Linked DNA regions of Drosophila melanogaster. The protein of the gene in region 1 purifies or fractionates together with the protein of each later gene. This does not show direct contact. Each region holds a gene or a part of one and is shown on either strand. Other genes may lie near its edges. The genes, in order: apolpp and Fas1.

Region 1 (5,122 bases):
TAATTTTTGTCGTGCACTTCTATTAGATGAATAAGATTGTTTATCAGACAGAAATATACTCCAGAGTAATGAACTTCAGATTTTGTGTACCTTGCCTGTGGCATCATGCTGCATCGCATATTGGTTTGCATATATTTGTAAAGGATTCGTTGTCTGGTTATTTTGTAAATAATCAATTGGTTTGTTGAATTCCAAAGTGGCGTGACGAAGCTCACTGTATGAAGAACTCACAGCGCTCTCTGGACTAGGTGGTGGCGGTAACTCATCTTTTTCGTTGTCTGAAATAAAATTAGTGCAGACGGATAGCATCTTTTGCGTTGAGCTATGAGAAGAGTCCATTGCTTTGACATTTAAATTATTTTATAATTAATACTATACAATTTTTATATAAGCATTACATAAACATACCAGTTTCATTAACGTTTGAATATGTACTCGCAGAAATCTTAGTTTCGTCTGTTAATAGTTCTAATGTTTCTATTTCTTTGCGAACAGAACCTAAATTAGAATATATTAAGCTTTTGCTTAAAGTCTTTGAAAGGGGCTTTGTAAAGCTGTTGAGAGGTTGTGTTGGCTTAGCTTGTACTCCCAAAAGACCCTTTTTTTCCATTTGAAGTTTATGGTAAGCAAGAGCTTCTAATTGCTGTTCCAAAATTGCCGGATTATCTAAAGTTGTTTTTCTGTTTATTTGAGTATCAGCAACTCCGAATTCAGAGCTGAGGTATTTTCTAAAAGGCATATGCCCCCTCATTGTTTTCTCGACTCCAATCAGAGGTTGTGAATATAGTGGTTCCCGCGAACACAAAACCTGTCTGCTTGATGGAACCTGAAATAAATAAATATTTATGCTTAAGTATACGTTATTATACACAGTTTTTCAGAATAATAACTTTTTATAATACAGGGTATAATAAGGGTATTATAAATAAAAACTAAGATGTGACATGCAGATTTTAATGACTTTGTACGCTGTGCAAAGTTCTAAATATTGCCACAGTTTGCACAGTTTGGTTTTTACCGAAGTGAAAAAGGCATGCGATAGATATTTAGGTACTGGTACAGTTAAGAATATCCCCTAAATTTACATATGTATACTTAAAACAATATTTACTTAAAAATTGATTATGTTTTTTTTAATGAATTGCTCCTGATATGTCGTGTAACAATCCATTAGTCTGTACTTGTTTTTGATTTCTGTCATCTGAATGGTAGCAAATGTTCGCTCACAGTCCAGCCGATCAATAATATATAAGTATATTACATATGCTTTTGTAGAGGGACGGAAATACCCTCTAAAACGGTACAATAACGGACTTTAAGGCTTAAAGAACAAGCCTTTGAGGAGAATCAATGAATTGCTTTGTATATAACACAAACTGGCTATACTAAAGTATGTATGTACCTGAGGCATTTCATTATATTTTATCGGCGGCTTAGGAGGTATATCCAATCTCCTCTTTACTGATGCATTTTGATTATTACTTATCTTGGCGACTAGCTTCGCAACTTTTCCATGTCCAATACATACAAGCGGTGAGCCTGTGTCACCTTTTGGAAGCGACAGCTCTCTAAGTTGCTGGGCCACAGACTCCATTGAAATTTAACAAAACGCGATTCCGTTTTCCTACAACAATAATAAAAACCTTTTTCTAATTTAAATTAAATCAAACATTCAAAGTCGTGAAATTTTAATTTAATATTTTCACTCCTTAACATTAATGAAATTACACCTGTAATGATGATAGTTTGGTTTGTTTTTAACCTGCATATAATTTTACTATATGTATAAAACAATTATTTTTATAAAATTATTGACATTTCAATACTAAGTGGAAATAAAACTATCGCTTATCGAATTTATGAGGCCCAGCAGTGTGACCTTAACACGAGAGCTAGAAAATCATTCTAGGCGCATAGGCTCGTATTCGAACTTATTAAATATGTAGTACTCACTTCGTACAATCGCTTTATATCTCGAAAGCTAATAAGACCATAGACACACTTAAGCGAGATATTGAAGCTAAATCCATATAAAACATATATATGTAGTTTTGCCTAAACGGCACCTTGGCAATCAAAGAAAATAATCCTAATCTGATTATAGGCGGACTATAAGTCAATGTAAGGTATTGAGAGAACTAATTGTTTGATTGAGACTACTTTAGTACGATAGAATAAATGAATAGAGTGTGAACAAATTCATGCCAAAGGACTTTAATTATTACATAAACATTAAACCGTGCGTTGAAACAATATTGTTATGTATTTTTATTTATAAATCTTAAAATATCAACGAAAAATTCGCCAAAAACATCGATGTCCACCAACATCGATGTTTCTCCACCTCTAACCTAAGTCCTAGAATCGAACTAATCCCAAGTGGGTAACGTGTACATTTTGTTTATTTTAGCAGGTATAGTCACTCCAACGAACAATCGGACACGTGCACTCTTATATAAGATGTGTCTCAAAGTGTCAGTCTGTATGACCTTCCCTGTAAGCGTATAGATCTCAGGAACTATAAGCTAAAAAGTTAAGATTAAGAATGCGTACTGCAGAGACATACGCGCAGAGCCAGTTTGCTTTCATGCCCGCTCTAACGCAGATGTACAAACCGCACAAAATTGCTACACCCATACCTTTCAAAAATATTTGTTTTTTTTATTATATATTTTTCTAATTTCTATCGGTTAACCAATAACATTTTGGCCACGCCCCACAAACCCTCCGAAAACTCCCACGCCCACACACTTTTGAGGAATAATTTTATTTGCATGGATTATATAATTTATTTTGCCTAGCGATGTACCCCAACGCCACCTTTCCAATCCGTCACGAATACATTTATGATATATTTCGATTTATTTATTAATATTTTTTTTTTTAATTTTTTATCGAAATGCCGATAAATAAGGAAATATTTTGCTCTTCCGTTTGTCGAGTAAGGGATATCTGACTGTCGGGGAACTTGACTATAGCTGTCACTGGAAAACTTTATGGGAAAGTTTCATTCAGGGATAATTAGTGAGACAAGTTTGTGTAGAAGCGAACGGATGGCAAAACAGACGATGAACGGCGATATCGACTCCACCGCTTTCCAGAAACTGATCAATAATTGATAAACCCCTGAACAAATTTTTAACTCAAATTTTTATAATATTTCCTTTGGGCCCAAACAAAACAAATGGCTGTCATGTAGGTGGCTTCCGATAAATTCGCTCACTCGACCACTGTTATTAAAAATATTTATAAGTTAACTTTATGAAATAAATCTCGTTTCAACATCATCCGAAATTGCATTTTTGTTCTTCTCCCAGACAAAGGAATTTTAAAATAAATTAAATCTGGTGCGGCTCTTTCAATTTATTTTTTCGTGATATTTGGTTCAGCTAATTTGCTAATAAATGTAAATGTAAATGCGAAGTCATATTACTTCATATTCAAGAAGAAAATTCTGTTCTCTTCTTATCTTCATGTAAGAAATTCACATTAAATACCGTGGAGGTCTGAATATAAATATTAATTTCATTGAATAAAGTTCCTCGTTAATATAAAAATGATTGCAAACCACAGTTGCTTGTAAATAAGTACCATAACGATATCCATATTTTTGAACACCACACCCAATCGTCTAATTGTTTGGCCCAATCGAAGCGAAATTAAGCTCGGTGGAGGAGTATTGTAAAGGATAGGGGAATGACCGATTTCTAAGGAGCCACATAATTAGGAGCCAAAATAATTATTAATTAATCAAATACCTTTTTAGTCAAGTGGTATAAAAACCCTAAATATGGGAAATCTATCATGAAAGGTGCACTTTTAAAAGGAAGCTGACTTGGAATCACTTCACATATGTACGGCCATAGAGCTCAATTCATCAGCGGAATCTTTTCAGAAAATGTGGGCACGGTAATCTAACTTTTTAATGGTTAAAGAAAAAAGATTTAAATGGTTGTAATCAGACAATCGTAACTGACATCCTATTCTACGCTTCTAAACAGTGGTCTCCTGCTGTCACAACGCACTATTAGTGATCATCTTCAAAGCGTGGACTTCCGTTTACGATGATTTATTTACTAACCGGGAACAATACAAGAGTAAACTTCTTTCGAACTGTAATTTTTTCTGTCCGATCACGCAGGCTGCCTTTCTGCGTGCTTATCGAGCAGCGTTTTGCTTTCCAGCAACTTTTAATTACAGATTAAAGTTTCTTATCAGTCGTTAACTGCAATTCAGGAACGAACTTTCATATAAACATATTTTATACATCTGTTCAAAATCAAATAAATATACATGTGTAAATATGTGTATGCATATTTTAAATACCTATGTACCTATGCTTGCATTTGTAAGCATACTTTCATCTATATGAAAAAAGGGCATAAAAATGTATAACAAATTCCATTACAGATGTGTGCAAACATGGATTGCAAGTGACAATCTCTGCAAATGCATATATGTATGTATGTATGTGTGTACTTGCGCATTCACATTAAATTTGGAATGATAACAATTGTTACATCGAATTTCTCAATACCTATACATAAAACATAATTGCTTTAGAGTTACAACTAGTTTTCTTATTTGCACATACAGTTTGTCAAGAAACTGTTTACACACTGTGAAATAAGTTGAATTTTTGACTTTAAAGGTAAAAACTAAGGGTTCTTTGCTTAAATTAAACGCAATTTTTTTCTAAAATATAATTAATCAATATTTATTTTACTTATGAATCAAAAAACGAATTAAAAATATTAATTATACAAGAAAATAAACAACAAATTCCAAGTTTACACACTTTTGAGACTGTCAAGTATATAAATATCAGTTTTCAACATTTATAATCACAATTATACTTTGCATTTCTTACAGTTTTCAACACCTTTAAGAGGAAAACGTAATTTGCGATTTGTTTATTACTTTATTAGCCCAAAGCCATATTTAAAATATTGAAAAGGTAGATGAAAGGATTTTGTACTACTAAAGTAATAGAGTGATTCGAACAATATTTGCTTTTAAGTTACATTTTTAATGGAGACTGTGGGTGGTTTTGGTAACATATGGCTTGCCAGAAAATGCGGTGAAGTGTAAATTAAAATGCTTAATTGGGTATAATAGGTCT
Region 2 (5,067 bases), on another chromosome or scaffold:
CTTGGAGCTCCTGAGTGGAATCGTTGAGTACTTCAACCTCGTGACTCAGTTCGTTTACATAGTTGAAAAGGGCAAAGTTCTCGTCCTCCTGACGCTTGAACTGGGCCACCAGTCGGTCCGCGTCCTCCTCGCCGTAGAGCAACTTGATCTTCTCGATGATCTCCTTGTACTCCAGAAGCTGCCTCTCGTAGGTCTCCTTCTGACTCTGCTTCTTGTCCAGCTCGCGCTGCTCCAGCTCCGGATTGAGGCGCTTTTGTCCCTTGATGTCGAAGAACTTCTGCAACTTGGCGTCGTGCTCCAGGCGGCGCTGCATCTCGCGCATCTCCTGGATGTGCATTACCTTGTCGTTCTCGTTGCGATCCTTTAGGACGGTCAGCTTGTTGCACAGCTCTTCTCTCTGGTCGAAAGCCAGTGTCGACTGGTCTATGAGATCCATGATGAACTTCTTGCCCTCGTTAAACTGGGTTACCATCGACTGCCACATGTCATTGAAGTTTGCCCTGGAGTGGAGTCGAAACGCATTAGCTCAATTCGGTATAAAAACCTAATAATATGGAGAGCACCTAGTTGACTTTTCATAAACCTAGTGTGTATTTTATAGATTGTATATATCTAGCGAGAAATGCTCACCGATCCTGCAACATGTGGTTTATGGCGTCCCTCATCTTGCTGTTTTCAGTGAGCACATCGCTGCATTTTTTGTTGACGACATCCAGGCGGTTCTCCAACTTGACCACGCTCTTCTGCACCTTGCAGATGGTGTCCTTGTAGCAGTTGTCGGGCACTTCGTTGCGCCGCAGGGCATCAATCTCCTTTTCCATTTTCCGGATGTGGCCCTCCAGTTCCCAGAGATTGGTTCGCTCATTCTGGAGCACCCTCTGCAAATCCGCCTGCTGTTCCTGCAAAGTGCCCAGGTGCTTCTCTCTCTGAAACCGATGTAAACCTTTTATATGTGGCTGACTAGTCCATTAAGTGGATATCTACATTGGTGTTCTTTCGCGCATGAGTACCACCTTCTAGAGTCTTGATCTCCTCCTTCAGCTTCTGGTGCTCCACTTGCAGTACGTTGATCATGTGATTCTGCTTCTTCAGGCGCTTGGCCTTCTCCTCGAGGAGACCCCGAAGGTCCAGCTGGAGACCCCGATGCTGGCGTTGCAGCCTCTGCAGCTCGGCAGTTGCCAACTGATCCAGCTCGCTTTGGTCAGTCATCGTTATTGGCTTTCTGAATTCGGTCTTTGCAATGGTATTGTCAAAACTGATAATGATATTAATTTGATTTCAATAGCAAACAAGCGTTGCTGGTGGCAAGTTGCTTAGTAACGGCGTGGTTTATCGAAGACTTTTACCATTTACTTAAAGTAAGAAGAACCAAATAGGTACACTGCTTGTTAAAATTCAATGTTATCTCCTTAGAAAAGTAAAAAAATAAGTGCTTGAAAATTATAACCGGTTCAATTTGGAATAAAATCTTTCAAACAGTAGAGACTCTGCTTAGCGGAGTTATCCACCGCATTCTGTCGTTGCCACATTTTGCGAAACGGTTAAAATGATTATTTATGCTTTTAAACGAAAAATGAGAAAATTTAAAGCAGTCTTCTTGTAATAATAATAAGATTGGATAAACAGACATTATTATAAATCTGACACAGAAGAGCAACGCAGCGCTCGATTTGTACTAATATTTTACCTCTAACAAGATTCGGAAAAGCATAAAAAGCACATAAATAAGAGTCACCGCCAAAGACATGCACAAATAAATATAAATGTTAAGCGATTTATTAACAGTGCACAGTGTTGCGATTTGAAACATCGACAGCTATCGATAACACTCGTTATCGTCACCACACGCTCGGCTTAAACCTGTTCTCCGCTTTTCGTTTTAATTCGAAAAAAACGTTCGAGCGTGGCGCACGTTGCGATTCCTCCGACTGGTACTTGCTCCCCTTATATTGAAACTCTGTGGAAAATCTATACTGTGCATAGGGCATAACTCTAAAATAGCTGCACGGCCCATTTCGCTGCCCTTGCTATTGATTTACCACCGCGCTGCGTTCGTTTGTGTGTGCTACTTAAAGAATTTGTGTGTTTTCCAAGTTTGGTCCGTGGACATTGCATAATTTCTGCGGCGGCCGTTAATGTTAATTCCTGCAGCCCGAGTTTCCGAGAATTACGCAGAATAAAGACCAGAGAGAAAACTATAAAATCGAAAACAGAAAAAAGTGCCGCAGCAGCGAAATGCAAAGGCGCATAATAATTAAACACACAGCGACGGAATGAAGAAAAAATAATACACAATAAGCGCAGCTTTGTTTCTAGTTAAATTGCGTTTGTGTTGTGCTTGCCGATTCCTCGGTGGTCCGTTTTTCGCTTGTTGTTCTATGTGACATAACGGAACTCTGGGCAAAAGCGAACAGGAAGCAGCGATAACCTTGCAAAAACAAAGAAAATACCAAGGAGGACAAAAAGCATGCCAAGCATATATCTGTGAAATAATATTTTCTTTTCCGAGGAAATGCTGTTTGTCGTCGGCTAACTGTTGTTTGCCTTTGAATTGCAGATCTTAATCGTAGAGCAGCACTCACACCAGCACACGCCCCCCGCAAAACAGCACACACAGCCACACTCACAAACGACGTACACTGCCAGCGCATAAACAAGTGCTGTTGTGGTTGTTGTTGCTGCTGCTGCTCGTCCGCTAAAATGCTGAACGCTGCAGCGCTGCTTTTGGCGCTGCTCTGCGCCGCGAACGCAGCCGCCGCCGCCGATTTGGCGGACAAATTGCGCGATGATTCGGAACTCTCTCAGGTGAGTCAGAAGAAGAAGAAGAAGCGAATAACGAGAACGTGGAGGATGAGGAGGTGAAAGGAGGTGGTAGAGTAAGAGCACGAAGAAAAGCAGTAGCAGCAGAAACAGTTGGTGCAAATAACCGAAACACTTGTCCGTAGTCAATTAAGCCCCCAGCACCACCCACCAAACGTCGCCCCCCCTCCCCCCGCTCACCCTTGGGTACAGTAGGGATTGCCTGCCATGAACATTAGTAATCCTTTTCTATCTTTGCAACCGATTAAATTAATGCGAAGAGTTACACTTCGAATATTTGTCAAAAGTATGTTTGTTTAGGTATCCGTACGCGCAACATGTAAAATTTGAACACATTCAGGGGCTTTTATTAGTCTAATATATCATTTCGTTGGAAAAGTATTTCTTAACTGCCTACATTTTATACAGTAATCAGTCGCATTTTTTCTGTAGCCAGGGAAACTGCCAAAATTAAAATAACTTTTGTGTGAGCAAAAAACAAACTATTTTTAGCAGACATTTATGCGTTTAAATAATTTTTTCAGCCTTTTGAATATGTTTCATATATTTCTGTGATGCCTTAATTTCTTCTCATGGTCGGATACCTTATTGCAATGATAAAATCAATTTTTTATTATGCCTGACTTGGCTTTGGCGAAGTCAATAAATTTACCTTGCCACCTAATAGTGGCAACTTATCAAAGTTCGGCTGTAATTGTGCCACCACCCACAAGACGCCGCCCCAATTCGTTGGCCTTGAAAGGAAAAGCCTTGGTGGAGTGTGCGAGGAGGCGGGGCAGATCGGGCGGGAAAAAGGAGCCTGCGCAAGAGGGACGCACCCGCATTTGGGCACAGGTAGCGTAGCCTTCGTTCCGGCAGCATCGTCCTTGACCTTTAGCCATCTCACTTGTTGTTGGACTGCGGAAAATCGATGATGCTGCCTAAAATCCCTGGCGGCAGTTCAGGTCCAGCCGACCGCTAAGCTCCACTTGGCCACATTTCGTATGCATGGCGGAGTTCGTTATGTAAAAATGAAAAGCCACATAAATTAAGCCCAGGTCTGCTGAATTGGCTCTCCCCAGCAAAAGGCAAATGGTAGAAAAAACGCCGGCCGTTGACGTCCACTGCGCATAACAGTTTTATATTTAGTTTTGCCTTTTTACACCTTCACAGGCCAACTCACATACAAAGTACATAGAAAACAAAAACACATTAATGTGTAAAAAACTCAGAAGCCAACAAAGGTGCGCGGCTGAAATAACAAGAACAACATGTGTAATGAATTCAAAGGCGGGGGTTCAGTCACCAGAAGGGGTATTAGCATTACACCAGGAGAAATATATATATATTTTTTTAATATGTTAAGGTTTATGGTAGCCCATTAAGCCACATAACTTATACTCAAAAAATAGAATTGATTTGAGTGGAAAATAGTAACATAGTTCGTCTATTGTAATTGCTTTTATCTTATATAGTAGGTGAAGTAGTAGTTGAATACGCGTTTTTAAGTAACTGACTTGAGTCCCTGCTTAATTTTCTAGTCTGCCTTAACACTGCATTTAACACCCGAAATACACGCTGCTTCAAAAGTAAATTAGACTTCCAAGTAAAAAGAAAGCGTGTGACAGACTGTAATTGTTGCAGCAAGTGTCTCAGGGAAGTAGTTGCATCCACACAGAAAAGGCAACCTTTTCGAGTTACAATAGGCGAAACAGAGCGTACAACTAAAAAAAATTAAAAACAAGAAGGGGGACTCGGCTTGCTCACTTGCACCCTTGCTTTAGGGCATTGTAACTTTGCCCAGAAGTTTGCCACTTTCGGAGCAAAGCATTTCCGGCCTCATATCTGGAGTACTGCTATACATGAGGGTGGGACCATTTGGTCGCCATAAAAAAGTAAGGGCGGAAAGTAATCTTCTGGCATTTATGCAAATTAAGTGCCGTAAAACTAATGGATCAAAAAGTCAGGCTTGGGAAATCCCTTTTAAAGTTACTTCTTAAGACTATGAAATAATCATTTTATTAATAATATGTCGTATTGCAGGTAGCTGCTTTCAATCCAATCCCCTTTTTAAATTTTGCGATTTATATATTTTCTCAGTTGTATTTAAAATGTAGACAAGACTGGTTCAAAAGGGTATCTCCATCTTCTAAAGTCGAAGTCGGGCTTCTTTACTCTGGTGCCTGCACTTCTCATTACATGCTGATGGCTTAGATAAATGTAGGTTGCCTGTTTTGGTTTGCGGCTTACGGCTTACGGCTTGTGGTT

The links.
Region 2: the proteins of apolpp (region 1) and Fas1 fractionate together in Drosophila melanogaster (co-fractionation; one study listed by BioGRID). This does not show direct contact.

The regions. Positions count from the first base shown.
Region 1 is NC_004353.4:1,059,011-1,064,132, forward strand, and holds the start of apolpp (apolipophorin), read left to right. Parts: upstream 1-1,958; 5' UTR 1,959-2,126; intron 2,127-3,667; exon of another isoform or gene 3,668-3,909; intron 3,910-5,122. Other genes in the region: Zyx (zyxin), read right to left, coding at 91-341, 409-826, 1,403-1,594. UniProt on the Drosophila melanogaster protein: Constitutes the major component of lipophorin, which mediates transport for various types of lipids in hemolymph. Acts by forming lipoprotein particles that bind lipoproteins and lipids.
Region 2 is NT_033777.3:16,623,412-16,628,478, forward strand, and holds the start of Fas1 (fasciclin 1), read left to right. Parts: upstream 1-1,826; 5' UTR 1,827-1,931; intron 1,932-2,557; 5' UTR 2,558-2,700; coding exon 2,701-2,805; intron 2,806-5,067. Other genes in the region: Ccdc114 (Coiled-coil domain containing protein 114), read right to left, coding at 1-500, 631-926, 985-1,209. UniProt on the Drosophila melanogaster protein: Neural cell adhesion molecule.